Oryzias latipes: one gene and its partners. The protein of the gene in region 1 interacts with the protein of each later gene in a pairwise test. Links are inferred from orthologs where the notes say so. Each region holds a gene or a part of one and is shown in the gene's direction. Other genes may lie near its edges.

Region 1 (4,191 bases):
GTCTAACATTTATTCAGAAAATCCTTTAATACCAAATATTTAACTATTTGATAACGTCACAAATTAGGGGGTTTGCAATTTTTCTGTTAGCCATGAAGGGACATTTTTACACAACAAATAACCGAGGAACTTTAATCTCCTTTGTCTTAAAAATGGTGAACATTTTCCCAAAATTAAGACATAAGCTAAACATTTAATGATGTGCCAATTAGTAGAATTCAACAAGGGTTTATTAATGTAAAGGAAATGCTAACTGTAATGATAAAGAGGCATTACAGCAGGATGATGATCCTTGACAGGTAAGGTGAACCCCTTAGTCAGCACAAAAGGAAGAGAAAAAATCATATGTCATAAACAGGCAGAAAACCACAGAGTATGAACCACCTCCAGATTGGTGGAGTGGCTGATTACACCTCAGTTACCAGGGTGACCACTTCATAAGACCTTGAAGAATGAAGAATCACCAGCAAAACACATAATTGGAAGAGTACAATTCAATTAGGACTACATAGAATCCCATCAAAAGAGTCTGCAAAAGAATCCGTGGTGTATTACACAACTTTTTTTATTGAAACAAGGGCCTTTTTTTCCTTTCTTAAGGTTTACATTTTGCAGTGTTTATGGATTAATAGAAAGCAGGAAGTGAGAAACCTGTGAGCAAACACATTAGCTTTGAGATGATTCAGCAGGGAAAACACTAATAAATTTTAGTTGGATTGCTTTGAACAAATGACTTGTGTGTTGACTTAAATGTCAAATATTTCATTCCAAATAAAGTGGCACAGGAAGCGTTGCACATTTCTTTGTGGTAATTTTATTTCCTGCTTATTAAAGCTGAAACTTTTGCTCTGCAGTCTCAGCATAATCACTGAACACAGCATTTTTTTCAGCTGTTTGACATGTTTATTCACCAACATTCTGCTTAAACCCAGTGATCTAACCTTTTAACTTACCACAGCTTAAATTAGTTTAGTTCTTTATCATCCCCACTAGAGCCCTTGTCTTGTAGGGCCCTCGATATTCTTTTTACAGATGATTGGAGGGGATGCTGCAGATGGTCTCTGAGGATTTCAGGAGTGTGAATGCGGACAAATTCCTCCTTTGGTTCATTGCAGTAAATCAGCAAGTATCTCTGGCTCTGCTCCAGCTTTTGGAAATAGTTCTGTTAAACCTCAAAGCTGATCTTTGATGCTTTTCACTTCAGCAAACATGTTTGAGTTTTCAGATTCCTACTTGATCTTTTGCTATTTTTTTTGTTCTACTGTTAATATAAAACAAATCCAACACAACCTTAATCAAGAGTAAGAACAAAGCAAACAAAAAAATAATTTGGATATTTTGAGTAGATTTTGGTAAATGCCAATGGTAAAGAAATACATTGTTTTTATGATTATTTTATGTTGCATTTTGCTTTTTAGGAAGATTTAAGACTTGCTGCTTTTCATCCATCACCAGGCTCTTGCTGTGGTATCAGCTTCATTTCTTCACCTCCGTCGGTCTCCATGTCAGTCTAATCTATCACAACATCCCTGCAGCAGTACGAGGAAACCGCACTGAGCATGCTCCCTGCAGCTGCTGCCTGTGGATGGAGCAGTGTGGAGACAAGGAACAGAGGGAGGAGAGAGGATATGGAATAAACGGAGCAGTGCAGCGATGCTGCTGCAGCTCTGAGAACAACGGCTGCAAACCTAACGCCACAGATGGAGCGTGGCAGCAACCTCAGAATGGCTGCATGGACTGACTGCCACCGAACAAAAGACATCATTTAAGGTAAAAAAAACTTAAAGAAGAAAGCAAATTCTGGAGGTGACTAAAAACCGAAAACAGTTTTTAAACCAGAGTGAACTCTTGAGCTGTCATGATTCATTGTCAGCCTGTATTTTATAACCACTGCATTTCTTACCGAGACATTTGACACAAGTGTGACAGTTGTGCCTCTTTATTGTTCTAAAAGGTTTGTCGTTGACAGGTGAGACTGGACAGCGTGAAGATGTATGCCTTTTACTCCCTTTTAGTCTACATCTTCTACACCGTCTTTAAAAAAGAGGAGGAGGAAACCTTGCAGGGGGAACACGATGCTTCCCCAGACGTATGTGTAATGTCAGCTTTAAAATAAAAACGTTTATTTTCATTTATTTCTTGTTTACATGGCTGGCATCCTTACAGAAAACTGCAATTGTTTGCAAGCATGTGCATGTCTGTGTTTGCAAAGCTTATTTTGGGTGTCTCTGTTGCCGTTGACCCTTGCATGCAATGATGTGCTCAGGAGCCAGGACCTGTTACCATGGAAACAAGGAGCAAGAGAAGTGATGGCCACACCCCCAGAATGGGAAAGAAAGCTTGTGCTCATTTAAGTGAATCAAGTGAGTCAAATAGAAAAAATGTACATTTCTTTTACTTTTTGAGTTTATTGGCTGCATTGTTCTTTGTTCATTTGATGTTGTGCAGGCAGCAGCAGTGACGGTGATGAACTGAGCGATGAGGATGAGGAGGATGACTTGGTCAAACCGGCGTGTACTCCTCTAGCTGCCTTTTTGTCTTTCAAGCAAGAGGCTGAGAAGAGGAGGACCCCCCCGCTTCAGGTACTGAAGCGTGTGTTAGCTCTATAATCTCAGCTTTCTGGATTCCTGTTCAACTTTATTTGCCTGCCTCTAGACCACATCGCTGACGGAGTCTCCCCTGGTGGCCGTGATGTCCCACTTGCTGAGTTTTTTGGAGCAGTACTCCCATTTCCAGCAGCTGCAGCAGCAAGCTGATCAATACCGAGTTCAGCTGAAGAGGCACCGTGTTCAGCACAGACGTCAGATGAAGGCCCTACGGTCCTCGTATCGCCAGCGCCTCCGAGACAAGAACAACATCATAAGCAGCCTGGAGGAGGCTGTCAGCCAGCAGCAGAGCCCCAGCCCTTTAAGTGAGGGTAAGAGAGGGGGGGTGAGAAAAATGAAGGTGGGGAGCAAAAAGAGGTGAGAAAGTAGATGTTAAGCAGCTGCCTTAGAAATGGCACTCAGATTAGCGAGGCCCCGAACACAGATTTCTGGTTATCATAATAATCTCACAGATAAAAAAAAGAACAAAAAATGTCTTCTGCTGTTTTAATAGATGAATATTAACAATTTCATGCAATAGAAACAGTGATGGAGAGTCATGCACGTTGCAGTCCAGCTTAAAAATGTGAGCAGACAAAGTCTCTAAAGGCTTAAAACATTTTGTATGGAAACTGCATGGAGTATTGGTGAAATCGTGCATACTAGTTATTCTTGCTTTTATTTTTGCTTAGTTTAGAGCTGGGAACACACTGTTCACCCTTTGATTGACAAATTGAATCAGCTGCAGAGCAAACTGCTTAGGGTGGTTTCATTTAGCTTTCTGATGTCACAGACAGACAGCAGGCTAACACTGCACAGCCCTGTGGACCTCAAAGTTTCATGTTTGTTCTGTTCTGTGTCACATTTGACCAGACTTGACCCCGAAGTGGAAACTATCAACAAAACTAGAGCATGGCTGTTTACTTTTCTTGTAGTAATCTTGTTACCCAGGTGCAGGAGGTCTGTGACAGGTCTCTGAATGCTGACATGATGCACCCTCAAGGTGGCATGGTAATGTGTTTGATTGCATACATAAGGACCCCTAAAAGACATTTCTGTGGGAACATTCAAGCTGAGATTCCCACAGCTGTATAAGGATTCATGAAAGTGTGATGAGAATATTCGGCACACTGTGACTGTGCTTTTCCCTGAGATGAATTAAACATGTCTCTGAGTCCTGTTTTCTATGCAGCAGATGCACTTACACGTGCAGCTAAGAATAGTTTTAGTTCAAGACCTTCTAAAACAAGATTTGGATTGTTTTCAGGGGTGATGACCAGCGTGACTCTGCAAAACAATGTGCAGTTAGAAAGGGCAATTTGTTCAATAATTTATTTCTTTTTAACATTTAGACATTTTCTTTTTGATGAAATAAACGTTCTCATCCATTTTCTTTCTTTTTTCAGATATTGAAGTATTTTATCCATGCACATACATTGTCTCTGATTTATTTAGGCTTTGTGCTTAGACATAATTCAATTCCCATTTGTCTGCTTGCAAGCTTTCAAGTTTGATTTGGCAAATTATAAAAGGGATCTCAAAGCTTTGAACTTTAAAATAAATTTTCACCTAGGATGTGTGTAAAAAGAAGTTTTTGTCTTTTGCC
Region 2 (3,140 bases), on another chromosome or scaffold:
AATTGTTTTTTTAACTTTTTTGCAGGAAGTGTCTCATCAGAGGAAATCATAAAGTATGCTCACAGAATCAGCGCCAGTAACGCTGTGTGTGCTCCGCTGAACTGGGTTCCAGGTATTAAACTCTGCACTGCAGCAAAAGCTAACCTTTTGCACAAGTCCTGTTTTAACTGCTATTCGCTATTCGGTTCCCAGGAGATCCACGCCGACCTTATCCAACTGACCTGGAAATGCGCAGTGGGATCCTCGGACACATGGCAAACCTGCCCAGCAATGGTGTGAACGGACACCTGCCAGGAGACGCTCTGGCTGCTGGACGGTTACCAGGTATGACCTCTGACCCTGCAAGACAGCTGATCCTCCGATTAAAATGTTTTAACTTCTGTTTTAATTTCAAACAGGAAGCAATTTTAATTGTTTTCAGGATATTTTTTCTTTATTGCAAATTATTCAATTTCAACAATTCCACTCACGATTATTGAGAGTGGTCACAATAGAAATTTTGACTGGTTCCAACATGGTGGTGTTTGCATCAGGAAAAAAATAGCGACTGGATTGACGTCACTTGGTTGGAACCAGAAGTAAACCATTTTCTATGGGTGATGTCACCCTCGGTCGCTTCAGTTATCATAGACCAGGGGTGTCCAACATTTTGCAAGGAGGGCCAGATTTGGTGAGGTGAAACAGTGTGAGGGTCAAATACATTTGAACTAAAATGACTGAATTCCACATTTGAAGACAAGGAATACAATTAAGAAAAAGTCTGTCTGTAAAATAAAAATTGATCAACATTAAATCATTTTATTCACTATTTAATGCTAACTGTAAAATTTTGAATTTAAGTTGTTTGAATAAGAAAACTTAACACAAACAGTTATCTATTTTAGTACAAAATGCAAAAAAAAAAAAAAACAATGATGATTGGTCAGACTGATGACATCTGATTAAGCCTCCAATGAATGATTGGTGGAGACAGTTAAAGGGGCGGGACTTTTCCGAAAACACGAATGGATGTTGGAAAGATAAACTTTTTTATGTTGATCTAACTTAATTGTTTGCTTCAGTTAAAATAAATCATTTTTTTAAGTTCAGTCAACTTAAAAATAAAACATAGTTATCAGACAGTTATTTTACTTTCGTTCAAACTAATTCAATTAAGTAGGTGTAACTTTGGTCCAGTTGCGCTGCAGCGCAAGGAATTGTGGGATACCATTCCCTTTGCCTGTCTGGATGTATTGGGATTTAAGTGTGGGGATTTGTCTAAATGTATTTTGTTGTCTAGCTGATTTACTCTGTTTTGCCTAGTTATTTTATCCTGGTATGTTTATTTTTTTCTGCACCATGATTGAGAGGGAGGGAGAGGAGAATGACTAAATCCATTGTGCTGAATATCGTTGTAAGATCAAAAATGAAAGTTGGTGTACATAATAACTGAATTCAGGCTTCATAGTGTGAATCCACACTAGATAATTCATGTTAATGTTCTTCAAATGAGAATATCTGGAGGCTCAAACTTAGACATATAAGAATTCAAGAAATACAATAAATCAGGATGGAAAAACATTAAATTGAAATAAATAAATAAATAAACGCCCCTCTCACCCTCCGGGTGGTTTCTCCTCCAATTTCAGGTCCTCTACCAGAGGCCTGGGAGCTTGGGGGTCCTGCCCAGTATCTTAGCTGTTCCTAGCACTGCGCTTTTCTGAACTGAAAGGTCTGAGGTCTTTCCAGGTATCTGTGGTAGCCACTCCTCCAGCTTGGGGGTTACTGCCCCGAGTGCTCCAATTACCACAGGCACTCACTTTTCTATCCATTGAAAATACCTTGTTCTCGCTTTGTACGCGCGTTAACTCAGGGTTACCGGGAGGAGGTTAATTAACCAAACTCATACCTGGTGTTTTGGAACCGACAAACCCAAAGTAAGCAAGTTTAGGCCTACTTAAGCGAGAGTTCAGGGTCAAAGTCAGGTTAAGTTAACATTGCTTTCAGGAATACCTCTCTGAGGTGGTCCTTTACAGGCTTGACATTTGGAAAAACAATCCTTTTGTGTTGTGTTTCTTCAGACATCTTGACCCCTCACTACCCCTGGCAGTCCTCGGACGTCTCTGCAGGGATGCTGCCTCCTCACCACGGCAACGATTTCAGCCTGGAGCCTCCAGGCCACAACAAGGAGAACGAAGATGATGTTGAAGCCATGTCAACAGATTCCTCCAGCAGCAGTAGCGATTCAGACTGAAACACTGTTTTCCTGAGTACTGGCATTACACAAACATTGACAGACCCAGCGAGATGTGTTTGTTGATAATCTGAGTAAAAACTTGCTTCAGTTCCCTTTTTCCTGTTCGAACTGGTATTTCCTCTGGTTTGTCAGACCTGGAAGAAATCAGTTTGCTTTCATGCCTTTTTAGCTTTTTATTTTTGTCAAGCACCTGTATCTGATAGATGGAGATGGTGTGAGCCATTTCCTGTGTTTTGCATGAATTACTAACTGGGCAAATGGAAAAAAAAGCTTTAAAATTCTTGGTTTGCTCTTCTGTGGCAGAAAACAGTCATTGAAGTATAAAGTAAAACTTTCAGTTGATGTTGTGTAAATACTTTTGTATATACTTAACATTGTAAATAAATACTTTTGGTTAAAACTTGTCTTTGCTTTTTGTGTTTTGTTTTGGAAAAAGTAAAAATGTTACAGCATCAATTGCTACATTTTATTTGAGGACAATTTTATCTTTATTTAGATGTTAATTCAGATGTAAGGAGTACTTCTGTGCTTCAGACAGAAGCACTGTGATTCAAAACAAGCTTAATGACAAAGGTTTCATTTAAAGGGTATTAACCATCAACCTCCCCAAAAAGTGCAGCAGCATTTTATGAAATAATTAAAATACAAGTATTTTTTTAGATCATTGGTATAAAAAATATTTCCATGATAAATCATAACTATTTTAAAAAAAATGTATGAAGGGTAAATGGTCACACTAGCAGTGACGCTGTTTGCAATACGATGCTGCCTTCAAGAACTCCTTGTAAATCAGAAACATTAGTATGTCAGACAAAGATTTGTCTGAAGCTATTTGAGTTAGTTAAACTAACCAAATGTATTAATGGGAAAATGATCAATGTTTATACACATGCTAACTTTTGAA
Region 3 (4,170 bases), about 2.7 Mb from region 1:
AGTGTGGATGTTTCTTGGTAACATAAATAATACAATTATTTTTCCTACTGGTCAGAAAGTCAAAATTTGGCCAATTTGTCGCAATACAAAAAAGGCGATGGCTTTGTAGAGATTTATGAAATTATGTCTGAGTGACGTTCCGTGTCTGTCCATACAGGATCCATCCTTCTCGGGGATGTGGGCCTTTCCGGTTCTCTGACAACATGTGGTTGATTATACCGACATCTTTCTACAACCTCTCTGCAGCCACACAAGAGTTTCTTTTCTTCATTGGCTCACAGGCGTTTACAATCCCCCTGTTTTCATTATCGGGGTAAATCCATTTTCATTTTACATGAAAATCATTGAACTGTCTTGCACTGTGCAGATATAGATGATATTTTTCTTTGAATGCCAGTTGATTCTTTACCAGCTGACTTGTTTCTCCGTCATAGTTTGGTGATGTGCTACGTCATAGCTTTGTTCTCCATCTATGGGAAAAGTGTTGGACTGCTAAGACTGCAGCTCAAACGGGTAAGTTGATGGTATCTAAAGCAGTATACTAAGAATTGGCCATGAGTTAACAAAGATTTTTTTCAATATTTCCTTTTTTACTTTAACTAATACAGGGTCTGGTCTTTTTTGTTTTTACAGGAGAGCCGGGATAAGCAGTTCTTAGTCAAGCAGATTGAGGAACTAAGTCGGTAGATGACCAAGATACCATTTGATAGATACATATATATACTGTATCTACCACTACAAGACTAAACAGCCTCTGGACAATGTTTAGTCTCTGCAGTACAGTAACATGAGACGATGTCATAAAGAAAGGATGTTTATTAAAAAGAAAAAAAAAGCTTCATATTATATATACATAGTGAAATTACACCAGATTCTTTCAAAATAAAATGTTAAAAATGTTGCACATTAAACATCACTGTTCTTTAAGCACTTTAAAAGTGATCATTTAAACAGGTGTTTTGATCATTTTTGGATATAGACTTTGCAAAGAAATGCATGTAAAAAAATTGAACCTCTAATACTGTTTTAAAAAAACAAGACAGTTGGACAGTGTTTTTGTTAAGACGAGAGCAACCAAAAATAATTGTTTATTTTTGACCCTTTTGAGACTACGGTATGTATTCAAACTTTTTATATTCTTTTCTTTAAATGTTGTGATTTATTTGTATTTTTTTAATGAGAAGTCCTTCGTTTGCTGTTGTTTTTTTTTTTTTTTATTGCTTTTTAAAGTTTAGTCTTGCTCGCTTATGACCATTACATTTATTTCTTTTGAATAAACCAGTTGGCGCTCGCTCCAGCTCCATCTAACGATTCTTCTTTGTAATTGCTTCAAGAGTTGTAACTTTTTTTGTTTACTTCCTGTTTGGGTCTACTACTTCCGGTGGACCACAGCAAACCTGGAATAGATGAACTCTCCAAAAAGTCGGACAGATTTGTTTGTTGTTAGACCTTAGGATATTAAAAAAAATAATACTGTGCTTTTAACGAGCCAGGTTTGCCGTCATGAATGCTAACTTAATGTAGAAAAAATGTAAGCTAATGTTTTAAAATCTAGACAATTGCGCAGATTTTTTGCTAATTTCTGCTTTACTAATCATATCAGACTCAGTCACCTGGCTGATTCGCGTTCCATATTGTTGTAGATCAAAGGCTCGGGTCTGTTCTTCCTCTAAATTTTGAGTTAGCTAACTGCTAACAGTAACACCATCATGAATATCCTTCCGAAGAAAAGCTGGCATGTCCGCAATAAAGACAATGTAGCGCGCGTGCGAAGGGACGAAGCCCAGGCTGCAGAAGAGGAGCGCGAGGCTAAACGCCGCGTGGAGCGCGCGGAGCAAGAAGTATGTTCAGTTTTACCGTTCGTTTTTTGTGTTTACATCTGTCTGTGTTTCGTGCTGGCAGAGTATACGTTAACAGATCACGTGACAGTTTAGCTGGTTCTGAGCTGAAAATGAGTTGGAAACCTCTGCAACTGAGTAGATTATATGTATTTTTTTCCTTTCCTTTTGGGGGGTTGTTATTCACAAATCATATACAAAATTGAGGTTTGAACACTATCATTAAGAAAGTGTGTTGTTCCATCGCTAATATGGAGCTGATGTTTATTTTTTATTGTGTTGATAATCTGAAATAGATTCAAACTTCATAACATGCAAAAATTGTCATGGTTTGTTTCCACAGGCGCGAACAGAATATCTGAGAAGAAAGGCCCGAGCTGGTCTCCAATCAGTGGAAAGCACAGGAGATGATGGGAGTCAAAGCGGAGGACATGTGGAGCATCTCAATCTTTTTCCTTTGGAGGAGTCTTCAGATAAGAAGGGGAATGAAGAGTATCTCAAAGAGAAGAAGGAGGAAACGGTGATTGTGCTGCTACTTCTGTTTATATTCTGAAAATTACAGGTTTATCTGAGTAAACACTCACTAAAAATAATTTAGGAAGTCCATTTTATGGATTTTTTCTTTTCATTTGTTGTAGGAGAGGAATGGTGTACAAATCCCAGGAAATTGATTGTCTGATCCAGCACAGATTAACATCTATTTTTGTTTGTGTGCATAAAATACTATAACTATTGTGTTTTTCATGTTTGAAACTCTCATTCTAATTCTGCATTCAAAGAATGAACACTTTTAACAACCAGACTGCATTTGCTTGACAGTTAGTTTTCCCTTGTTTATCACGGGAGTTATCTTCTAAAAATAACCCACATCAGGTGAAATCCACAAAGTAGAATTCGAGATGTTTTAAGGCTGTAAAACGGAACTTTGTTTCATGTTTAAACTCTTAAAGTTCAAACATTTGTAGTAAAATAAGTCATGTATTATAGAATAAAACAAAAAAATCTGTTTGTGGTTGAAGATTTAGATATTTGGCAAGCTAAACGCATTCTGTACAGGAGACACCGCTTGGAGGAAAGTACTTGACAAAGTCTACTACCAATCAGGATGCAGAACAAATTGAGCTGTTAAAAGAAATCAATGAAAAGAAATATGAAAAAAATCAGCGAGAGCGTGAAAGATATAGCGAGGGACCACTGTACTCAAAAGAAAAAAAACAGGTTGCTCATCTACAAGTTGCAAATGAGTAGCACTCTGCAGCTTTTTGTTGATTTTTAAATCAGTAATGCTAATTTAAAAAGGTAAACATCCACTTTTCCCCACCTAATACACTTGGTTTGCTGTGGTTTCTTATTCTACAGTGGCAAAAACGTGCAGCTGGATCTCATCAGACTCTGTCAGGATTTTTATTTTACCAGGAAGTTCTGATTCTACTTTTATGCAACAATGTTCAGTCATCTATTAGAGAAGGAAAAATGACACAAAGAACAATTTGCATGAAAAGGCAATGGAGTTTATTACAGTTTTTTTTATTCTCCAATACAATTATTTGAAATGGAATATTTTAAATATTGATCATAGCTACTCTGGTTTGTCCAGGAGAAGCAAGAGCGAGCCATCGGCCTGCTTGTTTCTTTAGGCCCCCAACCAGGCACTGAGGTGACTCCATGGTACATGCAAAGCAGCGCAGAAAAAGAAGAAGAAGAATCGGAAAAGAGGAAGGGCATAATTGAAGAGGAAAAGGCGAAGAAAGACCGCAGGCTGAAGGAAAGTTTGGATCCTTTGAAAGATATGAAGAAAGCATTGGGGGAAAGTGAAAGGAGGCACCACAAGAGCAAGAAAAAGGAAAGAGGAGACAAGGGAGAAAAGAGGAGCAGTGGGGAAAGGTAAGAAAGACTTTGGTTGCTTGAATGTCCTTCTAATGATGTTGATTACATAATAACACTGTTTTTTTATGGTGTTTTCTGTTTTTTTTTTGCCTTTTCAGCTCCATGGAAAGATTGCGTGCTGAACGCTTACAAAGGGAAGCTGAAGAAAGGAGAAGAGCCCAGGCTTTGCTTGAGCAGAGGAGTGGGAAAAGGAAGGATGCAACGCGAGAAATGGACGACAGGGACCGGCCTTACAACAACGCTTACTTCCCAGAAATTGCCCGAAAACGACAGAGGCGAGACAGAGAGAGCTGGAGAGATGAGATTCTCAAATCTTGAGTTTCATTATTCTGAACATTTTACAATCAGATGGTTAGGATTCCCTATGACTTTTTTTTTTTCATTTGTCCTGTTCTGTCCATAAAAGGAAAGTCTTGCAGGAACTAGAGGTCATGTCCAACAGCAG
Region 4 (4,118 bases), on another chromosome or scaffold:
CTGGGATGGAAGGCTGAATTTGACATGGAGAGGATGTGTAAGCTCCACTTATTGACTCTAAATTAAAACTGGACGGAGTGTGACGTCACTCATAGAAAGTGACTTACTTCTGGCTCCAGTGAAAAAAGGTTGATTCAATTTTTCGTGACACGGACACTGGCACGTTGGAGCCAGATAACATCAGTAAGCAGTGATGGTCCGAGTCGATCTGAGTGATCATTTCTATGGCAAACCATTCTGGCCAATCAGGAGAAAGCTTGTTGAGAGGCCACACCCCTACCACTTGAAAGTGGGCTCGGGAGAATCTGTCAATCAAACGTTCAATCTGAGACCTCTGAGTCATCTGATTGCCCAGTTTAAAACTTAAATAACTACAGAAAAAATAGGATTAGCAAGAACATGTTAAAAAAAGGTTTTAGGGCAAAAATGGTTATTCTGCCAGATATAATGACTGAGTAATAGCTACTTTATTTTACTATAGAAGTCTATGGCTTCTTGGAGTCAGCAGGTACTTCCTGTTTAGAACCCAAGCAGGGATGGGTACCTCAGTCCAGTTCTCATATACAGTCAATGGCTCCATCACACCGTGCAGTCTGATAATCTGCAGAAAATACATTCAATTAGCTGCGATCATTTTTCAATAATCTGTGCCATCTTTATTTTTTCTTCCTCATTTGCATTCAGGTGCAGATCTGTGGCGCTGGCAGTCCATGAACCCCACTGGATTTTCCAAGAGCACCAGCTCTTGATGAATGCTGGGGGGTGTTATTGATTATTTTGTGTTAATCCACCAAAGCAGATACTATTTTTTTGTCATGTCATAAATGCAACATAAGGCCTCAAATTTGAATTTCTTTCTATTATTTTTGGAATTTGTAACTAAAATCTATTCAACAGATTTTTTGTCTTTATTTGGTTGTTTCTGAACAGCAGGGATTCTTTTCTTAACTTTATAATTATGGAAGCCATAAAAATGATGAATAAAATAATTTTCTAACAGTAAAATTGTGCTTTCTTTTGAAATGTATTAATTGGAAAAACCCCTAAGGACATATTCTTTAAGATTATTGGTGCTGTATTTTTTTATTTTTTGTGGGGTTTTTTTTTTTTCATACGGATGGAGAAAGAAATATGTTGTAATAAGAGGATACTGGAGGAAATCATGGTAAGGTGAGCATGAATTCCTGCGTGATCTCGAGTGGGTATGGTCGTTTTTAGGCTGAGGTACGTGCTGTTCCTGTAAAAAGGCACTGGGGCTTTAAATGGCTCCCTGAACCCTCGGGCACCCTGTTAATAAACACCCACGTCAGCACGGAGCTCCAGTCTCTCTGACCGGGTTTCGGTCTTTAGGGCTGAGCAGGAAGTGCCTGGCTGTGGACCCTGGACGGGGAGAAATAAAAAGCGGAGGGGGAGGGTCAGAAAAGGCACAAATAATCATTTAAATAAAAAAAATGGATATAGAGGTAGATGCAGGGGCAAGTAGAGTGTGCCGGGCGGCGGGTGAATCCAGTCACCAGTGAGTATCGATGCTTTTCTGACGGGGTATATATATCAGGGCGTCAGCGGGTCCTTGCCGACACCTCGCGCCTGCGAAGGCGTCGCTCGCTCCGGGCAGCAGGCGAAAGCTGCTCGCTGTGCTCCGGACCTCCGGAGAGGAGTGGGGGCGCCTCTCGCGGATGGAAACGGGCGTTTGTTTCATCAAACTGATTCGTGGTGTGGACATGTTTATCTGAGCTCGCGGCGTGCTTCGCCGCTGGAGGAGGTCGGTGTCTTTTCTTTTTTCTTTTTTTTCCATTGTGTGCTGGCTGGAGCCTGAAGTGGGCGTCGCTCCAGGACAGACGGGGCTGCTCCGGATCGCCGCTACCCGCTTTCCTCTCGTAGGACTGCAGCGTTCTCGTGTCCGTTTGGAGGTCGCGCGCGGCCGAACGAAGGGGAAATTGCTCGATTAACACACGAGACTCGGTTCTGAGTGTGATTTGAAGTACCGGAGTGTTTCAGGCGGGTGTTTCGCCGAGGGTTATCGGGCGCTGCGGAGCTTTTCGAGGCGTATCGCGATAATGAAGGACGCATTTAAATCCATCAAGTCAGTCCAGACAGGAAAAATGACTTGCTGGGTTTTTATAAAGTAGTCTGTCTTTCAAATATGAGCTTTAGGCAAATTATTAGTATGCCTTTCGTTGTTTTTTTTAATGGCTTCTATTAGCTGCAGAAATCTTTATTTATAACTGTACAGTATATTTGATTCATCATTCATTTAACCAACAGGGTTAAATAAAGGGTTTGTTACCCGCCCTTCCTGATAGAGTCGGGTGTAATCCATTATAAAGCATTTCCTGATTGATGGATCACCCAGCCAATCAGAGCGCAGAACGGTGGGCCGGTCTTCCTTCAACATGATCCACTGCACAAAGATGCTGCCAGAGTAGAACTTTAGGACATCTTATGCTTGTTTTTTAATAGCTACTTAATTACTGACATTTCTATGGAGCCCTGAACCCGCAAATTTATATTTTGTGCACAAATTTGAGGATCAGTTCCTTCTACTAATTTGTGGCCTACAAAAACAACATTCTGTGGGAAAAATACATGTGTGCACAAAATGCTAACAAAATATGGCTTTAAAATACAAATTTCTGTGCAATAAATACACATTTGTGCACACATTATGCCAATTAGTGTACACAAATTTGTGCACACTAATTTTTGGCCACTAGTTTTTCCTACAAAATTATAGTTAAATATTCATTTGTGGCCACGAAATAACGGAGCCTTGGAAATGACATTACAAAAATAAATAAATGGTTCCCTCACATGTATTTTTAGTTTTTTTTTGCACAAATTAGCATTTAGTGGCTACAGAATAGTATTTCATGGGGACAAATAAGAGTTTTAAGGGGGAAATTAGCATTTTGTGGCCAAATATTTGTATTTTGTGGCCACAAATTAGTAATGTAACTTGAAGATGCTAAAATACTATTTTATTTGCTAATATTAATTTTTGGCCATAAATTAGTATTTTCTACACACAAAGTAGCATTTTTTTTGGCCCACAAATTAGCATTTTGTGCGCACAAGTTAGAATTTTGAGGCAATGAATTTGTATTTTTTGGGCACAAGTTAGTATTGGAACTTGAAGATACTGAAATACTCATTTGTTTGTACTAAAATGTAAAAAAATAATAAAATGGTCATTTGTCTACACAAAATACTAATTCATGGTTACAATTTTTTAAATGAGTAAAAATTTTGTTTCATTTAGAGCTCTGTACATTTCCCCCGTGCCTTTTAAAATACTAAGTTGTGACTACAAAATGCTCATAAATTACTAATTTGTATCCACAAAATGCTAATTTGTGACCACAAAAGGCTTATTTGTGTGTACAAAATACTAATTTGTGGCCACAAATGATATATTTGCAAACATGGCGTAGTCTGAATATGCAGTCCTGGGGGGTATTCCAGAAAGCAGGTTATGCTAGCTCCCACGGTAAGTTTGAGGCTAAGGAAGTTGATAATCTGTTCCAGAAATGGAGGTATGTTTCAGGGTATGTCAAGTTGCCATGGCAACTCATGCTCATAACATAACCTGGGGCCTCATTTATAAAACTTTGCGTAGGATTTGCGTCAGAAGTGGCGTACAGATGAAACATAGGACGTGCGTACGCACAGAAATATTCAGATTTATAAAACCGTGCGCACGCACATCCTACGCATCTTTCCCTTAATAAATCACAATCAATTCTAAATGCAGCGCAGCTTTTGCGGCTTCATGACACGCCCATAGTTGCCCATAAATAGTCCGCGAAACGCCCACAAATGAATATTCATGGATTGCGAAATCATGGCAAACACAGAGAGGAAATGAAAAAAAACGTAACTTCACTCAATGTGAAGTAGAAGTTATCGTTGGTGAAGTGGAAAAGAGGAGGAAATGTTGTTTGGAGGGCACAGTGTGGGCATTACTAATGCCAAAAAGGCACTTGAGTGGCAAACGGTGGCAGACGCCAAATGCTGTAGCCTCACAACCTCGGACCGTGGCCGAAATAAAGAAGGAATGGTCGGACATCAAAGTCGAGGCATAAAAAACGTCTAGCGCTGCATCGCCAGAGTGTCTCTGC
Region 5 (3,500 bases), on another chromosome or scaffold:
TTGCAGGCTTTTGAGTGACTCCTGAAATGAATGTGCCATCACCAACTGCTTGGTGTGATTTCAGACATCTTCAGTCGGCTCCCAACAAAGCCTTTCAGCACGTAAAGGTGGACACGCTGTGCCAACCGGAGGCCATGTCCTCTGTAGCCGTGCCGGGTGAGTACAAAAATGAATCCTGTTCAGATAATAATTTATTTGATCAGGACTTTTGACTGGCTGAATCCATACTTCTTTGAGCTGAACTGAGACCTTCTTAGACCTTTTTAAACTCGTGTTTTAACTTTCTAGAAAAGAGAAACTCACTTAACAAAAACAAAATATAGGAAGGATTCAAATTTGACTGGTATATTCTGAAAGAAACTTTTGTTTGAAAAGGAACTTTGAAAATGCAACACAAATAAACTAGATCCATGTCTCCATAAGGATATGGCCACATAACCCAGAATTCCACTGCGCAGCAACCTAAATGCAAGTCTGTCAGCAAATTGGGCAGGTGGCAGCGCGATGGCCAGGGAGGTTTTTATAAAAAGTTAAAATTTTACGGCGACCGGACAATTTTTTGCCCGGGCACATTTCAAGGTTGTCCTGTGGCAGTCCAGTCACAGGCTGAAGGGCCCTCTTTTTTTTATATACCCCCGGGCTTCCTGGCAGCCATCCATAGACATTTGCTTAATTAGAGCTGCTGCTGGCTGGCAATCGGGCTGCCACCGCCCTGTGGCCGCTTAGTTGTTGCCCAATTTCGCAATGGCGTCATCCCCTGCCACCATCAACATTCATGACCACGCCTACTAATTTTAAAAAAGAAAATCGGGTGGCGGGCAGAAATCTTGAAGATTCTACTGATACCTCCCCATCACGTGGTGGCAGTTGCACTTACAACCCTAGCATAAGGAGGATGATCAGTGTTCTCCTTATTACTAGTGTCAAAAATGTCAGAAATTTCACTTTGACAACTTATTTTGGACAATGCTGCCCCCTAGCAGGCAACTGTTATAACTGCAAAACTGTTTGATTCACTCCTGAGAGTGCAGTGTGAAAGCAGATTAAACCAAATGAAAGTGTGACATTTAAATCTTCTTGAAAAAAAGGCCCCTTAGAATAAAGTCAATCTTAACCCTATTTGCAGATTTTCTTTAAAATAAGCAATATATAAAAAATCTGAAAATGAGGTAAAAAAAAGAAAAGAAAAAATAATTCTAGTCACTAAGACGCGCTTTTTCAGACTAAAATTATTTTGCTGTTGAAAAACTTCTTGATGAGGGTATTTTTCTTCCAGGACATTTTTTCTTAAAATAAGCACCTTTTTTTACATAAGATACAGTTTTTACAGTGTGCTGTAATCATAGTACATAAGTGCCTTTAGAATTATGTTTCAGTGACTTTGTTTTTCATATTAACCCTTGTGCTATCCTAGGCACTTTAACATTGGGAGTTGGGTCATCTAGACCCACTAGACAGTGCTCTGAACCTTTTTTCCTCAATGATTTTTGAATCTCACTGGTGTCCATGGATTACATGAAATCTTTCCATCTTTATCCACCTTTGTCATGGTAGGGAGAACACGCCAATGCAAGGGTGGGGTCATCTAAGATAGCACAAGGGTTAAAGAACAAGTGTCTTTTTAAGATCTAGCAGGTTTCACCACATCAGACATTCATTTTACAGCTAGATGTGTCAAGGGAATCGTGGTAAATTTGAGGGGCCAAACCATTTCTCATCCTATTTTTTAAATTTACTGCATAGTTTAATGATGTGTGATAAAAGAGATGCTCCCATCAAAAGGGACCTTTCAAATTTCAATCATTAAGTTAGACCTAGATAGAAGAACTGCAGCTTTGCACAATCACAAAACTGTTTACTGCATCAAAGTTCTGAAAAGACGCCAATTTCTAAAGATACCTGGCATTGAAAGCAAACAATTTAAAACCACACGCACTTGATTGTGCCGATGCTTACGCTCTTCTTTTCCAACATTCATTTTTCATGCATTTGTCCCCATTTTTGCCAAATTTTCTCTAATCCATCATCAATCTGTTCGCTTTCAATGCTGCGGTTCCCTTAAATCTTCCTGTCGTGTGTTTGTGCAGCCGCCTGGTGCAGCGTGAACAGAGACTGAAGCATGAAGACTCAACTACACGCCAAGACTCCTGGACACTCCTCATTCTTCTCAACTCCCCCTCACACCCCCAAAACTCTCCCTCCCCCTTTATCCTTCACATCCTTTGACTCTTTTTGTAAGTACATGTTTACATAGTGAAAAAAATGAATGGTGTTAAATGCAGTGAAAAACAGAAGAAAATGGTGCATTTGCAAAAAAAAAAAGTTTGCTACTTTAGGATTTCATGTTTCAAGTAGCTTTGAGTCACCTTGAAGGAGGAGTTTGTCATGTAGCAGGGGCCCCGAGGACGGAGGTGTTAATGTAGCAGTCACTATTTAGGAGGAAGTCACAGCACACTGCAGTCAATACAGTTTACAGTTGACCACATTACTCTTACATCAGTCCCAAGTTTAAAGCAATTTCCTTTTCCCCTGGTTGATTAATAAAGTATTTAATGGATTGGATTTATCTGCGCTTTTCAAGACACTCAAAGCGCTTACATTGTGTCCATTATTCATTCACTCCTCATTCATACTTGGTGATGGTAAGCTACGGTTGTAGCCACAGCTGCCCTGGGGCAGACTGACAGAGGCAGACTGACAGAGGCGTGGCTAAGGACACAACGACATTTTTTTTTGGCTGGTGGGAGCGGGGATCTAACCGCCAACCCTTCGGTCATTGGACGACCCGCTCAACCACCTGAGCCACTGTCGCCCTATTTACCGGTAATAGTCAAAGGCACCATGACGGTGCATTCTGCCATAGAAAGGCTATTGTAATTGTGAGAAGTTATGCAAAAGTTTATGACACTCAACCCAGAAGTTTGTGGGTGTCGTGTGCTGGGACAAGTTAATGAAGGAGGTGTCATTTTAAATTTTCCTTTAATGATGGCTTCTTGATGAAACAAACCTCTGCACAGGTTTGGATGACTATCATAGTTACACCAGGGAGCTGTGAAAAAATTACAACTAAAGACAAAAAAGGCAAAAACTGGTTTATTACATTTTATGCATAAATAGAAAGTTGTCATCAATAGAGGCTGTTTTAACCTTGTTTGAGAAAACTCACGAGGAGCCCATTGTTACAGAGGGGACATAGGGGGAACCAGAGTTTTACATCAAAACAACCCGACTTGTAGTTCTTATCAGAACTCAGACAACTTTTGACCTACGTAATTTATAAGTTGAAGAAAAGTGTGAAAAAGAAAAATCCATCAGGCATTACTTAAGGATTGGACAGTTATCTTCTATTTTTAGGACATTTTCACAGATTTACAGTTGGAGAAGTGCAGCCTGACCTTGTTTGCTGAGGCAGAGAAGCACTCAGTTGCAGATGTCTCCAACCCTGTTCCTCATGAGCTCCTGCCCTGCTAGTTTTGCAGCTAACCTGGTCACCTGGATCA
Region 6 (4,110 bases), on another chromosome or scaffold:
ATACACCTACAAAGGTGGCCATTGATTGCAAACAAGTGCATTTTTTAATAAAGAAAAGTCCTTCCCATTTCATGCTATCAGCAATGGCTCCCCATGAAAAAGAAATGTCACAAAATCTGAGAAAGGAAATTATTTATCTGCACAAAAAAGGTGAGGGCTACAAGATCAGCAGCAAAGCTTTACATATCAGTCAAAATCCTATTGCAAAAGTGATCCAAAACTGTAAGAAAGATGGACGTGCAACCATCTTACAGAGACGATCATCTCGACAGGTGAGTCCTCTGATGACAAGGGTTCAAGAAAATCACCATGAAGGTTCACTGCAGTTAGCTGAAGCAGTAGAAAAAGCCAACTAGTGTGACTGTTTTACACTGCAGAGGAATGGCATGCATGATTATCATCCACAAAGGAAGCCTCTGCTAAAGCCCATGCACTAAAAAGCACGCCTAGATTTTGCTACGGCCCATGCTGAAAAAGATGAAGACTACTGGGTCTCAATACTCTGGAGTGAAGAGACAAAGATCACCGTTAATAGAACTAATGGTTTTAAAACTGTACGGCGTCGCAAAGGTGATGATTTCAAAGAAAAATGCATGGTGGTGGCAGTGTCCTGATGTGGGGCTGCATGGGTGCTGCTGCTCAACTGACAATCACTCACCATCCGGCATCCAGGCTCTAAAAGAGGTTCTTCTTGAAGAATGGAAAAAGGTAGATGTTGCAATATGTGGCCAACTTGTTCATTCCATGCCTAGAAGAATTGGTGCTGTCCTAAAATATCACAGAGCTCATACAAAATACTAGATGATTCACACTTGTGCTATCCTATGACCCCCCCCTTCCATTGACGTGTTCTCCCTACCATGACAAAGGTGGATAAAGGTGGAAAGATTTCATGTAATCCATGGACACCAGTGAAGATCACAAATCATTGAAGAATAAAGGTTCAGAGCACTGTCTAGTGCAGAGGTGGGCACTGAGGGCCGCATTCCTGCATGTTTTCCAGCATACCCTACTCTGGCATGTTCTAATTGGCTGGACACACCTGAACCAGGTAATCAGCCATGAGTAGGGCAAGACTATCTGGAAATCATGCAGACACACCGGCCCTCGAGGCCTGGAATTGCCCACCCCTGGTCTAGTGGGTCTAGATGACCCAACTCCCAATGGTAAAGTGCCTAGGATAGCACAAGGGTCACATTAGTACTTTTTAAAGGGGGTGTAGTTGTTTATGCTGAGCACTGTACATACATTTATATATATATATATATTTTAGGCCTGCACAATATACCGCAAATTTATCGTTATCGCGACATTAAGCTGTGCAATATGCATACCGCAAAAGACAGCGAAAATCGCAATAAATGGTTACCTTAAATGTGCTAAAACAATCTCATGGCAGCTTGAAATATTGAACAAATGAAATAAATCCCTTTATGCATTTAACCAATCGGAAGGACCCGTTCACGTTGTTGATCAATCAGATGAGCCCTTTTATGTTAGATGTTTGCCTCCTACGTCGACGAGGGTCATTTGGAGTATCATTTGTAAACTGTTGCAGTGAAATGGAGATGATGTTTTTGGTTGTTTTGCTATTTGTTTATATACCGTGAATTATATCGTTATCGCAATATTAATCACCAATATCGCATATCGTGCAGCCCTAATATATATATATATATATATATATAACATTTATAATTATATATATATATATATATATATATATATATATATATATATATATAACATTTATAATATAGGTAGATTTTTTGTCCTACAGTTACTGTGAACACCGTTAATAATCAGAATCAGAAGTACTTTAGTGATCCCACATGTGGGAAACTTGTGCGTTACACTAGCATTGTAATCTTAAAAGAAAGTAGAATAATATATAAATAAAATTTTTGTAAAAAAATAAGTTGGTATAATTTAAAAACTATTTAGAAACAGTACAGGCAAAAATGTGCAAAAGTTATCTATTACACTGTGAGTTATTGTAAAGTGTTATTGTATTGGGTAGGAAGGCTTTCTGGTATCGGACAGTTTTTGTCTGAGCCTCTTAGAGAAGAAGCTGTTTGTCCAGAACAGGGTGGAGAGGATGGCCTGGGTCGTCCATGGTGGATCAATAAAGTCTGACTGATGGACTCCTTTGTCTTATTCAATGTGCCTTATAGTTCTGTGCGCATTATTTATGACATCATTTTTGTCTTTTTTGTGTGTTCTTTCACCAAAACAAAAGGAACCACTCCAATCCTCTTCGTCGGCGCTCCAACCACCTCAGCGGGGGCAGCGGTGGGATCAGCAGAGGGTCCAGCCCCTTACTGTCTGATGGACAGGTGCGCCTCAGACTGGGCATGCAGGTCTTCTTGAACAGTGCAAATGACATGGCATTCATCCGTTACTTTGGCACTGCTGACTTCGCTCCGGGCCTCTGGTTGGGTCTGGAACTAAGAAGCCCGAAAGGTAAAAACGACGGCTCTGTGGGCGGCCGGCGTTACTTCACATGTCGGCCCGGCTACGGTGTCCTGGTCCGTCCCAGCAGAGTCACGTATCGGGGGATTAACGGTTCACGTCTGGTGAATGATGGCCGCTGAGGCCTTTTTCAACTTGATGCTTAAGTTTTCTCTTTTTTCCTCAATTCTTTGGTTCTTTTCTTTCTGAGGCTTCAGTCACAGAATATTTGCTTATTAGACCTAAAAGATGTTGAAGCACTTTAAAGTCAAAGAAGAATTGGTATGCAGGATTGGCACAGTCTTCAGAAACTAAGATGCACTACTTTCAATCTGATTGCAATAAAATCATCCTTATGACAGATTTAGAAAAATTTAACGTTATAATATTTCTGTAGTTGAAGTAAATTGTATTAAATTGTATTTTCATTAAATAAAAACTGCACACTGGTTGGTTTCCAGCTTGAGGATGTAAAGAAACCTGAGTCACTACTGGGTTTTATATTCTGCTTTAATGTGGAGAAAAAAAGGTTGATGAGGACCAGACCATGTCAACACAAAGCAGCATTAATCTGATCAGCAAGACTATAGAAATAATTCCTAACCATCGCAAGTCTGATTCCAGTAGTCCAGGAATAAAGCTAATAATCAGATTATGGAGGTTCCTGTAAAGAACCACTGCGAACATCTTTAGATCTATTTTCCCTGTTGTTTTTTAATTAGGATTTTGCCGTTTGTAGCCAAAATCCAAAAACCTGGGTCGTTTTCTAGGACATAATTTCTGCAGAACGGCAGGAGTTCATTAGAAATTCACCTCTGAGCTGTGGGCGGACCGTTGACGCTCAGCAACTCAGATCACCTCCCCTTCCTTGTTACTGAGAGCTTAGTTTCAAGCTGTCCTGCTGGCTTACAGCCCCCAACACCCCCACTTAACAGTAGCGGTGCAACAAAAATGGTGAACAATAGAAGAGCTATCCATGGAGAGCTATTCTTTATTTATGTCATCCATCATCAGAAAAATGTCAGAAGAGTATGGAAAGACTTGAGGGTAAAAAAAATAACCTGAAACATTCAAACGTTTTCTTTTTAAATGTATATGTTTCTTCATTTGATAAAGGAAAAGTATATGTTAAAAGAATAAAAAAAGATTATATTCTGTTTATTTTGTGTCTTTTTTATTTGTTCCCTGTGGATTTCTCCAGGTTTTTTTTGCTGATGGTGTCAAAGCTGTGGAAGCTCTGTCTGAAGGAACCATTGCTATTTTGTCAGTAGCCTGTGCACACAGATTAGAATTTGAGTGGGATTGGCACACTTTATTATTTGTTTTCTTGGAAATAAATCCTGCACCTTGTTACATGTTACTATTTGATCCAGGGAGAAGTCAAATATTAAGGTTTTGCGTTAAGTAAACAGTAATAACTGTAGAATAAACTGGTGCAGAAGATGGGATTGTGCAGCTGATGGTGATGGAGGGCTTTTAGGGCCAAAGAGCCTATGTGAAATCACAGAAGGTTTATAAGATGGAAACAGTTTTAAAGGGAAAAACTATGTGTCTCTCATCCAAAACTGAGAAAAACCTTTCATGGATGAAAATGTTAAATTCACACTTACATTCTGTAAGCGATTGTAAACGATTGTCTACATGCAGCTGGAAGAGGAA
Region 7 (3,500 bases), on another chromosome or scaffold:
ACGCATGTTCAAGAACGCACTAAATGCAGGTTCCCATGGTGTTCACACTGGACTAGCTTTTTGTTTTTCCCATGTCTGCCACCTACAGTTGGAGTAGGTTTGGTGCAAATCTCGTGAATCTTGCTCCAGGCTTTTTCTTTCACCTCTCCATTCCAATATATGAAAGACTTGGTGTCAAAGACTTCTGGCCGGACACAAACCACATTTATAAAATTCTCCTTCATGTTCAATTTTCAAACAGTTGGCAACTCTGTGGAATAAAGGGGACGTCATCGATACGTCACCACTGGTTGGTCAAAGTTCGTCCTGGTTTAACTGTCAACGTGCGTTCAGTGGCCATGCGTTTTGTACGCAGACCCTGAAAACGGTCGTAGTTTTGAACGCGGAATCCCGACATGCACATTTACATGCATTTATGTTCGCGGTTCATCGTGTGGTCACTTGAACCGCGTCAGGCGGTGAGAAGGTTGCTTTAGAAAACGTTGCTGTGTTACCGATCACAAATAAGACAAGTGTTCATGATCAAGAGTCCTAAAACCAACCGTGGGATCAAAATTTGACCCAACATGTCTGATGTTGGATTATGAGACTTGTACCATCTGGATCAAGTCCATACCAGTCTGGGATGGCAATGCAAACCTTCGCAGAAGACTGCAGACAGGTTTCCGCCATGCTGTGAGCCAACAGTACAACACAACACACAGAAATAGTACCCATATACCAGTCTGGTACCAGGGAAAGGCCACTGGTGAACTCCTTTTGGGAAACCGGTTCCATCCCCACATATCTGGCCCTCCTCTTGCTGCCACAGCCTCAGCCGTCCAGATGTCAACTTACCATATCATCTTTTAAATATTGCTCATTTTTCTCCCTGTGTGTTTTTTCCTTCCTCTCTCTTGCCTTCTATCTCCTACTCCTTTTCCAGGATGTCTTCCAAGCGACCAGCCTCTCCATATGGGGGGACAGATGGAGAGGTAACCATGGCAACCAGCAGACAGCGAGTGGAGGATGAGGAAAACGAGGGACTGGGCGGTGTCATCCACCTCCCTCTGGCCTCCTACTGTGGCAAGGTGTCCCCTCGCTCGCCCTCTAACCGAAATCTGGAAAGCCCTGCCAACACGGTAAGACATTGAGTTTGGAACGGTTGATAGGACAACATCGGATAATGGACGTTTTGGAACAGGGGTTAGACCGGGAAGTCTGTTGGAAAATTTCCATTGAGTTTTCCCATCCTAAAATATTAGTGTAGGGCAAACTCAGACTGCAGAAACACCAGTCTGCCCGTTTTGTGGCTTCATTGGCTCGTTGCCTCTACACCATAAAAATGGTCAGACTATGACCTTGTGGTCTTGTGGTGTCATCATCATAGAAGTGGAGAACTGGCATTGAATTATGGATGTTTAAGCTAGAAACACACTTTGTTTACGCTTAGAGTTTGCCATGTTTTCAAGTGTATTGAGAAGTTCTGGGGATGAAACCTAAAGATGTTTCAGACATTTTCATTTGACTAAGAATCCAAAACGGTGCATTCGCCATCCAGCCTGGATCTAAAACACCTGTTTGCTTTGGTAGAGCGTCTCTGACGATAAAAGCACTTCTTAGCAACGAGGAAACCAAGTTGAGTGATTGACATTGTTGCAGTCTGGTTCTCTATAAAGGACAAAGAAATCAACAGAAGAGTTGGATGATGGGAGGTCATCAGGGCTAAAGTCCAAAACTACATTTCTAGGTGTTCTTGCGTTTTGGTACCAGCTGTTGCCTTAAATTCAGTTGTGGGATTGTAGAATTTGAGTTGCCAAATGTTGGTGCTGAGTAAATAAAACCTGGTTTGTTGTAGCTGGAGGACTGGTCAATCACTTTAGAGTTGGGTGTAAATACGTGCTAAATGACACACTAGCGACGTAACAGCTAGTGACACTTTTTACTCTTCTTGTTTGACTTTCAGCTCACTCATACTATGGAATTTAGATGTTATTGTTCAATAAACGCCATGAAACGCAGCACATCTGCAGAGGAATTTGCTGTTTTTCTTGGATCAGGAAAACAGCCTTAACCTCACCTTGAAATGGGACGATTGCTGGCTGACAACGATCGTTGACCTTTACCCCAAACCGACAATAAACGCTTGTAAGCAGTAAAACAATGAAATTGTGTTTATTGTCTGTAATGACAAGCTAATCCTGCAATTAGCCCTCTGATTAGGCTGCAGGCTCCGCCCAGGGTGAACTCCACCAGTGCAGCAGGTGCTGACTGTAAAGCCATGCAGACGTGCAGACTTGTTGTCACTCGGACGCTCCGGGTTATCTGTTACTTTTGAGGGCAGTGATTAGATTACTGGTGGTACATTTAGATTTGAGGGGGGATACACAATTGGCCTTATCAGTGTTCGTTTCAGGAGATTGCAAACGGAAAAGTTCTTCTGCCACGTAACACACCACAGCGTTGTCGTCCTTTGCTGGACAGCAGAGAAGAGGTTGTTCGTAGAGAGTGGGTGGATGGTGCAATCGTTGATTGGGGTTATTAAGTGTGCGCCAGGGCGTGTGTGTTTTACAGATGGACTTTACTGACTCCTAGCTAGCTGTAAACACGTCTGTTATTATGCATTGTTTTTGTGGGATGAGGGTTAACAACAGCAATTCCTTCACAGCTGACTTGTCAGGTGATGAAAACAAAAGAAATGAAGGTGTAGTCCTCTGGCTCCGTCTCTGTGGTGGGGGTCTGGTAAGGGTGACAGGGGGGCTCTTGGGTGCCTGGATTGGCCGGGCTGCTATATTTTTGTCTACCCCTGGCTCTGGGGTGTGGGTGGGGTGACGGGACTCCTGCCTGTGCTGGAGCATCCAGTGTGATGAAGGTACATTCTGAGAATTCATTCAAACTATACCCATGCCCAAATATGGGCATTGCATTGTTTTTACACCCCTGTCTGTGTGCTTAACCTCACGTCAGTGGTGCGCCCTGTGAGGTCAGTCTTCTATGTAAGAATACACTTCAAACCTCTACATTGTTGTGTGCAGACTATTTGTTGTTGTGTTGATGTGTGTATGTGACAGCTAAGTCATGTAGTTCACTTATGACACTCTTATGCTATGACTCCCCCACCCACTCTATCTCCCCCTTCTTAACCCCTTACCCCCCTCTCTAACATCCCACTCCCTCTCTCTTCTTTTTTTCCGTCCAACAAGGAATGCAAATAAACATAATTATCATAAATCAAGCTTAGCCTCAAATACAGAAGGGGTTTATTCAAATATACACGTCGTGTGTGTGTAGATCCATGAACCCCTATAGTGACAGGAATCTGTCCAACACTAGAGGCCTGATCTGATCTGCTCAGCTGTTGGACTGAACGGGTTAGAAAAATAAAAAAGACATGAAGAAAGAGTTACCGAAAGCTGTTGGGGGGGGGGGGGTTAGACCCCGAGGCGATTGGGATAGGGGCGTGTTCTGTGCAGAGCTGTCAGAACTGGATGGAGGGGCCACATAAGTGGCTCATCAGAGAC

The links.
Region 2: the proteins of kinesin-like protein KIFC3 (region 1) and med4 interact in binary tests that used the Homo sapiens proteins (3 or more experiments, as listed by UniProt). The two-hybrid records come from large-scale screens. The link is inferred for Oryzias latipes from reciprocal best matches to the Homo sapiens genes KIFC3 and MED4.
Region 3: the proteins of kinesin-like protein KIFC3 (region 1) and leng1 interact in binary tests that used the Homo sapiens proteins (3 or more experiments, as listed by UniProt). The two-hybrid records come from large-scale screens. The link is inferred for Oryzias latipes from reciprocal best matches to the Homo sapiens genes KIFC3 and LENG1.
Region 4: the proteins of kinesin-like protein KIFC3 (region 1) and zbtb8a interact in binary tests that used the Homo sapiens proteins (3 or more experiments, as listed by UniProt). The two-hybrid records come from large-scale screens. The link is inferred for Oryzias latipes from reciprocal best matches to the Homo sapiens genes KIFC3 and ZBTB8A.
Region 5: the proteins of kinesin-like protein KIFC3 (region 1) and necab2 interact in binary tests that used the Homo sapiens proteins (3 or more experiments, as listed by UniProt). The two-hybrid records come from large-scale screens. The link is inferred for Oryzias latipes from reciprocal best matches to the Homo sapiens genes KIFC3 and NECAB2.
Region 6: the proteins of kinesin-like protein KIFC3 (region 1) and clip4 interact in binary tests that used the Homo sapiens proteins (3 or more experiments, as listed by UniProt). The two-hybrid records come from large-scale screens. The link is inferred for Oryzias latipes from reciprocal best matches to the Homo sapiens genes KIFC3 and CLIP4.
Region 7: the proteins of kinesin-like protein KIFC3 (region 1) and sox5 interact in binary tests that used the Homo sapiens proteins (3 or more experiments, as listed by UniProt). The two-hybrid records come from large-scale screens. The link is inferred for Oryzias latipes from reciprocal best matches to the Homo sapiens genes KIFC3 and SOX5.

What each region holds. Positions count from the first base shown.
Region 1 is NC_019874.2:16,688,907-16,693,097, forward strand, and holds the start of kinesin-like protein KIFC3, read left to right. Parts: upstream 1-1,391; 5' UTR 1,392-1,770; intron 1,771-1,969; 5' UTR 1,970-1,990; coding exon 1,991-2,089; intron 2,090-2,266; coding exon 2,267-2,363; intron 2,364-2,448; coding exon 2,449-2,582; intron 2,583-2,655; coding exon 2,656-2,917; intron 2,918-4,191. UniProt on the Homo sapiens protein: Minus-end microtubule-dependent motor protein. Involved in apically targeted transport. Required for zonula adherens maintenance.
Region 2 is NC_019879.2:14,003,286-14,006,425, reverse strand, and holds the end of med4 (mediator of RNA polymerase II transcription subunit 4), read left to right. Parts: intron 1-25; coding exon 26-112; intron 113-192; coding exon 193-324; intron 325-2,060; coding exon 2,061-2,233; 3' UTR 2,234-2,640; downstream 2,641-3,140. UniProt on the Homo sapiens protein: Component of the Mediator complex, a coactivator involved in the regulated transcription of nearly all RNA polymerase II-dependent genes.
Region 3 is NC_019874.2:19,390,365-19,394,534, reverse strand, and holds the start of leng1 (leukocyte receptor cluster member 1), read left to right. Parts: upstream 1-1,370; 5' UTR 1,371-1,709; coding exon 1,710-1,841; intron 1,842-2,181; coding exon 2,182-2,358; intron 2,359-3,435; coding exon 3,436-3,722; intron 3,723-3,823; coding exon 3,824-4,043; 3' UTR 4,044-4,170. Other genes in the region: tmc4 (transmembrane channel-like protein 4), read left to right, coding at 158-313, 435-513, 634-687.
Region 4 is NC_019880.2:16,761,523-16,765,640, forward strand, and holds the start of zbtb8a (zinc finger and BTB domain-containing protein 8A), read left to right. Parts: upstream 1-1,318; 5' UTR 1,319-1,451; coding exon 1,452-1,516; intron 1,517-1,531; exon of another isoform or gene 1,532-1,762; intron 1,763-4,118. Other genes in the region: gale (UDP-glucose 4-epimerase), read left to right, coding at 1-37, 685-749. UniProt on the Homo sapiens protein: May be involved in transcriptional regulation.
Region 5 is NC_019864.2:24,547,758-24,551,257, reverse strand, and holds part of necab2 (N-terminal EF-hand calcium-binding protein 2), read left to right. Parts: intron 1-64; coding exon 65-156; intron 157-2,087; coding exon 2,088-2,116; 3' UTR 2,117-3,500. UniProt on the Homo sapiens protein: May act as a signaling scaffold protein that senses intracellular calcium.
Region 6 is NC_019880.2:28,155,299-28,159,408, reverse strand, and holds the end of clip4 (CAP-Gly domain-containing linker protein 4), read left to right. Parts: intron 1-2,239; coding exon 2,240-2,594; 3' UTR 2,595-3,610; downstream 3,611-4,110.
Region 7 is NC_019881.2:1,329,743-1,333,242, reverse strand, and holds part of sox5 (transcription factor SOX-5), read left to right. Parts: intron 1-925; coding exon 926-1,121; intron 1,122-3,500.